Xenopus tropicalis: one gene and its partner. The protein of the gene in region 1 purifies or fractionates together with the protein of each later gene. This does not show direct contact. Links are inferred from orthologs where the notes say so. Each region holds a gene or a part of one and is shown on either strand. Other genes may lie near its edges.

What was found.
Region 2: the proteins of racgap1 (region 1) and protein FAM98A purify together in Homo sapiens (co-immunoprecipitation; 3 studies listed by BioGRID and IntAct, with this or other methods). This does not show direct contact. The link is inferred for Xenopus tropicalis from reciprocal best matches to the Homo sapiens genes RACGAP1 and FAM98A.

What each region holds. Positions count from the first base shown.
Region 1 is NC_030678.2:148,521,285-148,525,109, reverse strand, and holds part of racgap1 (rac GTPase-activating protein 1), read left to right. Parts: intron 1-1,202; 5' UTR 1,203-1,206; coding exon 1,207-1,291; intron 1,292-2,225; coding exon 2,226-2,428; intron 2,429-2,517; coding exon 2,518-2,657; intron 2,658-3,099; coding exon 3,100-3,169; intron 3,170-3,825.
Region 2 is NC_030681.2:46,829,843-46,834,153, reverse strand, and holds the start of protein FAM98A, read left to right. Parts: upstream 1-1,323; 5' UTR 1,324-1,546; coding exon 1,547-1,599; intron 1,600-4,311. UniProt on the Homo sapiens protein: Positively stimulates PRMT1-induced protein arginine methylation. Involved in skeletal homeostasis. Positively regulates lysosome peripheral distribution and ruffled border formation in osteoclasts.

The DNA of each region.
Region 1 (3,825 bases):
TAATAAATGTGGAATGTAGTGAAAATGAACTCCCACACCTCAGCGTCCTCCCCAACATCCTCCAGCTCCCCCCTCTGCATCCTCCAGCTCCCCCCACTCAGTGTCCTCCCCAACATCCTCCAGCTCCCCCCAGCGTTCTCCCCAACATCCCCCAGCGTTCTGCGTCCGCTGTCTCTTCTTAGGTCCCGCAGCTGCAGATCTTTTATTAGGTTGCGCCCCGTGCGTGCTGACGTGACACGTACGCACAGGGCGCAACCAATAAAATTACCCGCTGACCACCAATGAGCCAAGGGCCTGTAACTCTTTAAAGGGGCCCGTGCTTAAAAACTGTATCGCTGCCAGGTCCGTCTGAGTGTTGCTGGGTTTGAAAAACACAGGAATGCGATTGAAAAATTTGATTTTTTTTCTTATGTTCCAGCAACATATGGGATGACTATGTTGCTTTGCCTTCTATGTTCCACCCCTCTGTTGGTCTGGTCCTTTTGCTTGACTTTGGTTTTGTTTTAACAAAAGCCCAGTCTGGCTACAAGCTTTCAGAGCTTCTTTTATGCAGCTTGGTTACTATCAAGGAAGCATAAGGTACTGTTTTATTAGGGAAAAAGAAAATCATTTTTAAAATAAGATTTATTTTCTTAAAATAAGGAGGCTGACTTCTGTAATTTGAGCCTGTATACCTGTAGTTTTTTTTTTTTTTTATATATCCATAAGGTTAAATGTGCTATGTGTGTTATGGTCGTAGGCACATAAGTTTTTGTGCTGTTTCTGTAAATATTTTTGTTTCGTATAATTTTTTTTAGGCATTTTTGCTTGGTTTTGTACTAGTTTTTAAGATGTATGGTGTTTATATGCAAGTTTACATTGTAGAAGTTTGTGTATAACCGTCTGTCTGCCTATCTTTCATTTTGCTTGGATATGAGCCTTTTAGAACTTTATGGTTGAGCTTTCTTGATAATTTTGGCCAATTAGCAAGGTATATGATGGGTTTGCTGGAGTTGTGAAAAAGTAGTTTTCAGTTGCTGTTTTAATGGCTTAAAGTGTAGTAGCATACTTGTATATATGGTTTTTACATGTCTGTATTTATGTAAACAGTCCCTGCAAATCTCCCTTGGTCAAAATGTGCTCCCAGAACTTTCGAGTCGAGCACTGCTCCACCTATTGATGCTCCAAGTTGTGATTTTCTACTAATCGACAATTCTTTGCAGGAAGATGGCGACAAACCTGATGAACCTACGCAATCTTTTTGAGCAATTAATGCGGCAAGTAGATGGCCTGAATGAGGGTATAGAGCCACGTAAGTATGCATCCCAAGATGGAAGCTTTGCTGTCTCTGCATATTAGAACTTCGGCTTTGTTGGCTGTAACGTTATTCAATCTTCATGGTAATATAACAGTCGGTTAGCTGAATTTCTTTGTTTGTGGTGGTGTGACCCCCCCATACTGATTTGATTAGTACTGCCTCATTTTAAAACTGGGCACCAAAATGTTGCAAATGTTAGGCACCTCTTAGTGCTTATAATCGCTCACCTAATACCCCGGGCCAGTCTGGGGTACTCCAAAGCAAGCACCATGGGACAATCATTGTCTTCTGTTTCTTTATTCTTCAGTGGCCCAGGCCAGGACACGTGCAGTATAGTGAAAAAGCTGCCCTTCTCCTTTTAAAGTTTGCCTTTTCACTCTACTGCACATGTGCACCCAATGCGAAGGTAAAAATATTGCTCCACATTGCTCGCTCGGAAGGCTGGTATAGTTTTCTGCCAACAGAAGCACCAGCCGGGAGTATCTGGCTTCCCAGCCCTCTGATTTTGCATATTCTTCTGTAAATCTCCCCCCCCCCCCCCCCCCCCAAAAAAAATGACAGAACATGCTCATGTCGATCAGCTTTTTTGAAAACATACATTTTTGTCATAGTATTAACTTTACAGGAAATTTTCCAAAAAATAACTGTAAACTGATATTTCACTTTTAAACTAAATTTATATTGCGTTTCTGTCTAACTTGTATGAGCTAGACATCCTAAATTGCGAGTAAATATAATTGGAAATGCCAACACACTAAAATCAAACCTTTCTTCCTGGAGAGCAATTGATTGTTTGGAACTTAAAAGCGTTCTAGTTTGACAGTATAGCCCTAGGCACAGTTCACGTGTGGTTTTATTTGTGAGTGGTATTGTCATGCTCTTTCTGAATGGTAGAGATCAATCATTGCCTTTTCTCCCTATTCCTTAGAGTTTATTCAGCTGGCTAAGAATTTTGAAGACTTTCGAAGAAAATGGCAAAAATCTGAGCAAGAACTGATAAAAAATAAAGAAATGCTGATGAAGACTGAAACTGAGCGCAGTGCGCTGGAAGTTAAGCTAAAGCATGCACGCAATCAGGTGGATGTGGAGATAAAGAGGAGACAACGTGCAGAGGTGGAATGTGAAAAACTGGTGAGATTGGAGAATTTGTGTGCGACAGTTTTGGGGGAGACAAGACATCAACCTGTGCTGTTAGTAACACCTGTTTTGTCTTATGGTAGGAACGACAAATACAGCTGATACGGGAACTGCTAATGTGTGATCCATCTGGCAGCATTCAGCTCAGTGAGCAGCAAAGAAGTGCTTTAGCTTTTCTTAATAACAGGACTCAAATGTCCGCTGATGGAAATGGCACTAGGAGGTAAATATGAAGCCAGTAACTGCGCCTTGGACTATTGCATGCATAACTGTATTGTAGCAGCAGTAGTAATGCTGTCAAAAACATACAACTATTTTGTTGGCAGTTGAGGTAGCCGTACACGTCCAGGGCAGTTTTCAGCTTTCACCAATCTGTCCCGCCATCTGGGTGCATGTGGCAGTTTTGGAAGACCCCCCCCCGTCACATGGCAATTTACATGCCACTGTCCATTCTTATAACTGAAATATGCAAATCCACATATTAATAAGCACACTTGAACATTATTACTATACACAGTGCATGTATATGTAAAATCTGCTATTAAATACAGAATTGTTGCTACTGAGCTGTAGCAAGAACTAGCTTATAGCTGTGCAAAAATTCAAGTTTAATTCTACATTGCAATGCGTTAGCTAATTTTCCCTGATTCCTCACATTTGTTTAGGCTCTCAACAATAGATGAATCTGCTTCCATTCTCTCAGACATCAGCTTTGACAAGACTGAAGACTCATTGGTAATAAGCCATATATTTTTTAAGGCATTGTTTAAGGCCATTTTGTTTTGGTAGATAGGGATTATGTCAAAGCTGCCTTGGTTTTTATTTTAAAAAATTGTCTTGATCTAACTCCACTATACGGGGTGATGTACGTTAATAGTGTTGGGCAAATTTTTTTACTGTGATGCTTTTAGATGTAATCAGAGGGATACACACTATCATTTGCTTATGTCAAACATGGTGGTTGTTTTTTTCTGGACTCTTATGTGGTGCCATCATAGGAACTGAAGTTTCTTCCAAAGCTGTTCATTATCCCTGAATGGCAAAGATCTGCCCCAGCAAGTCCTTAGGGCAGTGACGCACAGAGATTTGTAGTTAGCGGTATTTTATTTATTTATTTTTTAATTTGAATGCTGGCTCAATCTCCCAACTTGTCCTTGCCCTTAGATTTAAATAAGCCAAGTCTGAAAGGCGTTGTTAGGTTCTTTAGCCATTGAGCCAGGAAACTGTCTCTTAGATATTCAAGATGCGTTTGCGTGTATGTTTGCTACTCTTTCCATCTTTTCCATATATCCTATTTGAGTGTCAATGTTAGTCATTTGTAGCTGTAGGCTAATCATGCGGATTCCATGTTTAGATGACCACCTGGATTATTATGCCTGATGGCAGGTCCT
Region 2 (4,311 bases), on another chromosome or scaffold:
GAAATCCTGTGTTACTTTTGATAGCATTACTGTGAGTGCTTATTGCTGTATTAACATAGACCTTTCTGATAAAGCTTACTTAGTTTTTACCTTTCCTTCTCTTTTAAATATCATATGTGAAGAAAACTGGTCAATACAGAATCTTTACCCCTCCAGCCAGACCCTGAGTGGTATCATCTTCCTTCGGAGGGTGTGCACATAAAACATACAGATTACACACAAATTGCGATTGATACAGTAGGTTGAGACCTGCTCATTAGAGTTTACAATATATTAAAAGAAACACTGCATAGTACACATATTTCAGTTTCAGAAAAACATGTCACACACAGCAGAGATATTATTTATGGAGTGGGCAATACAAACAATAACTTCTTACAGAAGCAGATACACAATATTGCATTGCGCAGTTTTTGATAATAGGGGCTTCAGACTAGGTTCCCAGGGCCCACCAGTAAGCCTTACATTACATTCCCACGCTTCCCCTTATTATCCCCCTTAGTCAGCTTTTTTATGGTCCTACTCCCATATTTATACATACTACACTTCCCTCGTTGCCCACTTTCCCCGTATGGTTAATAATCAATATATAGAAATCCAAGGCTAATGGTTGGGCGGGTAGATGGCCCACTGACGTCTGGTCCGTCGGCCTATCCAGCATTGAATAGGGGACTCTATAAATATAGCTTTCCGACCAAAGGCATTAGGGTTACAGTAATTATCTAGGCTCAAACTGGGCATATGGCATCTGTCTCCGTAGTATTGGCTTGTACAGTATACTATAGCTCCAGAGTTGTAGAACTTAGCACATATAACGTCTATTTTAAACCCTTTTGAAAAACTTATTTGGAGAACTGCATCCACATATCCTGCAGAATATATTCCGTATGACATTGCGAGGAACCCCTCGCGTCCCACAGGATAAAACACTTTGCTGTTCCAAATAAAACTGAATTGGGCTCTTGCCATTGCTCCCCGGCGCCTTCAATAACTCTAATTCTGACAGCTACCCGACACGCCGGCCACGTGACCCCGCCGCTTCCTCTCCACATGGACTGCATTCGCTGGGGTCCTTCGCACAAATGGCTGTACCGTGATATTGCCGTACTTTTTTGCTGCTTTCATCTCCGCTTTGCATCAACTTATTTCTGTCAGATAACTTTGCAACATATATCAACTCCTGCCATGTAATCGCCGCCTCTTTATGAAAAGATTAACAAAAATAAAATACTGGATTGGGCAAGTTGAATAATCAGGCACCTAAATAGACAGTCCGATGACGGCAAAGAACAAGAGAAGGGAGGAGTTGGGGTCCTAGGGAATGCCAGCCGGGCAGCGTCTGGCAGCTGCTGAGGGAGGGGAGTCTCTGGGCAGGAGAGTGAGACCGTTCACACGTGGTCTCCGGTATCGGAAGAGCTGCCGCCTACGGCACCGAGTGACTGCTCTCCCCTCCCCAAGGCCGCCATTCCCCCCACCGGTCCTTTATCTGTGTTAGTGCGCGGTGTCGTCTTTGTGCAGCAGGTGTCACCACAGCATCGCTGACGTCATGGACTGCGACATCATGGAGAATGACATCTTGGAGGCTCTGGAGGATCTTGGGTATGGGATTTTTTTGAATGCTTAAACATTGCCTCCTGTTCTGTAATGGTCACTTTGTATTCTCCATCTCTGTAGCATGACAAACGTGTATATCTCTGGCTAGTAATCCGCAAGCATTTATTGGACCATGTTAAACAGCAGTGACAGCTCTTTGCCATACATTGGACTCTTACTTATACATATCTGATGACTGTATAGTATTGCACTCACATGTCATATCAGAAAAACTTTATGATCAAAATCTTTTTCACCTGATGACAACAGCAGCACAGGGCTGAATAAGCATAGGCTAATCCTAGCAGGCAGCAGCATATTTCTGCACATTTTTTAATGAGTTTCTTTAATTCAGAGCAACCACTTTTTTACTGATTTTTTTTTGAAACCACAGCTAGATTGGCATGATGTATAGGATGATTGCTCGCCTACATTTATTGATTACTCATAATTGCAAATTCTAAACAACCAGCTATGTGACTGCCAGGATTATGTTTTATAAAAGATGACTTGTTTTAAATTGGGTTTTGGAGTTTAGGCTTCTGTTTTAGATAAGAACTAACATTTTTGAACACAGATGGTTTTTTAACTGTTTAATATAAGAAAGTCAGTTGTAACTGATGTTATATTTGGGATGGAATTTATAATAATGTATCCCCTCTTTTGTCAAATAAAAAGGGCATTACATCCATAATCACTTAGGCCCAATGTTGCAGCCAAATGCTTTTATACAGGTCGCAGAACTCTTGAGATGACTTCTATAGTATTTTTTAACAAGGGGCATATTTATTTTTACAATGTAAAGGTGTGTTATGTAACAAGATTGAGGTCATAAGACTTTGTTTCACCAGAAATATAATTAACTTGGTGAATATAGATGAAAAGGTCCCGCTAAGCCTTGCAAGCCTTTCACTGTCGGAGGGTGCTGTGAATTTAAGCTGAAGAACAGAAAGAGTGCTATCTCATTTTAGAAATAATCCCAAGGAGTACATTATTCTTGCTAATATCAATGATATCACTGATATAATATAGTGAAATAGGTGTGTTGTGAGCCAAGGCCATATACATACATTTAATTTTAAGGTCTAAAAAAGCCATTGAGAATATACTGTATGTTTAGCAACCATAGGTAGTAAAAGGCACATTTGCCCAGGTGCCGTTACTCATAGCAACCAATAGAATGTTTGCTTTAAAACAGGTGACCAGTAAAAGCTACTTGCTGATTGGTTGCTATTAGTGACAAGCCAAATAGAAAACTTTGCACCTTTTATTATATAACCTGTTTGTTCTTTGGAGAATGCAGTCTTAATTTCTCTTATTGGTTTAATTTAAAGCTTTTAATAAGTTTAGTAACTGTGCCCATTACTGTGAGTCATCCAAAGAAACTTGTTTTCTATGTTTATGTGCTTCATGCTAAGACAAATCAACAAAGTGGATACTTCTTATTAGCTTGTATATTATTATCACTTGATTTGCTGTTTGGTATAGGGCATAGGGGAAATCAATTCAACAATCAAACTGCTGTGCAATATATAACATCATTGGTATATATTTATTTTGTATTAGATATCATACCACTAGTCTTAATGTCTTTATCTGTGGCCTGTAACCTTTTTCTCATTTTATTTTTACTCGATATATAGAGAGGTTAAGATTTCCCTATATATCTATTAGAAGCAAGCAGAATGCTTCTCTTTACTTGGCAATAGTGAAGTCCTTTTGTCTTTTTCTTTCTTAATCAGGGCCAGACATTTCCCTGAAGTAGGCAAGTAAATGGTTAAGGACCAGTAACACTAAATAAATGTAAAGGGTTTTCTGTTCATATTAAAATAATGTACTTTTCCCCTGCACTGATGCAAGTTATGTACCTGCGCCACAAACTATATTTTAGCCATGGGGCATTCAAGCTAAAATATGGCAAGGTAAAATGTTTACAAAGTAAATATTAAGTAAGCAGTGTAGAATACAATAGTTTAATTGTTAAGCAGTATGTTGAATTAATCATATTGGATTCTACAGACCTATAGAATGAAAGGTGTTTAAAAAAAAATGCCTGATGAATAGATAAAAACTAGTTATCCATCACATGAAAATTGTTTCCCCCATCTGAGGTGCAGAATAACAGAGCCTGCATTCCTGATAGGGGAAACAATAGTAGTTGTTTTGTTTTTTTTTTTTTTTTTGAAAAGCAGCCAAGCACCTTGGTCTACATATCCCCCAGTCCTATATCACATGTACTTGCAGATTATGCATATGCCCCTACAAGCATGCACAGCCCATTTCATATTCCCTTACAGCATTGTGATGGGATTAAGATCTATGCTTTGACTTGGCCATTCCTTGGTGCAGGCCCAAACTATAACATTTCCACCACCACGCTTTACGATTGGTATCAGGGACTTCTGGTGAAATGCTGTCTTTGGTTTTCACCAAACATGCCTTCTGGTACTGTGCCAAATAACTCTTAACGTTGCCTTGTCTCCCCAGAGCAAACACTGATTGATTTTTTTTCTGGACAGCAAAAGTTTTCCATGTAGCTATTTCTAGGTGCAGACTCATTCACTTAGTCGGGTGAGTTACTTATAGGTCCCATGATGAAATTCTGGCACTTCTTCCAGCACTGTGGACTACACAACATAAATGGTGCAGGATATTTGTTGTATCACCTTTATCGGTATTGTTGACAAGAATATCAAATATCTGTAGGTTGGAAAAGGA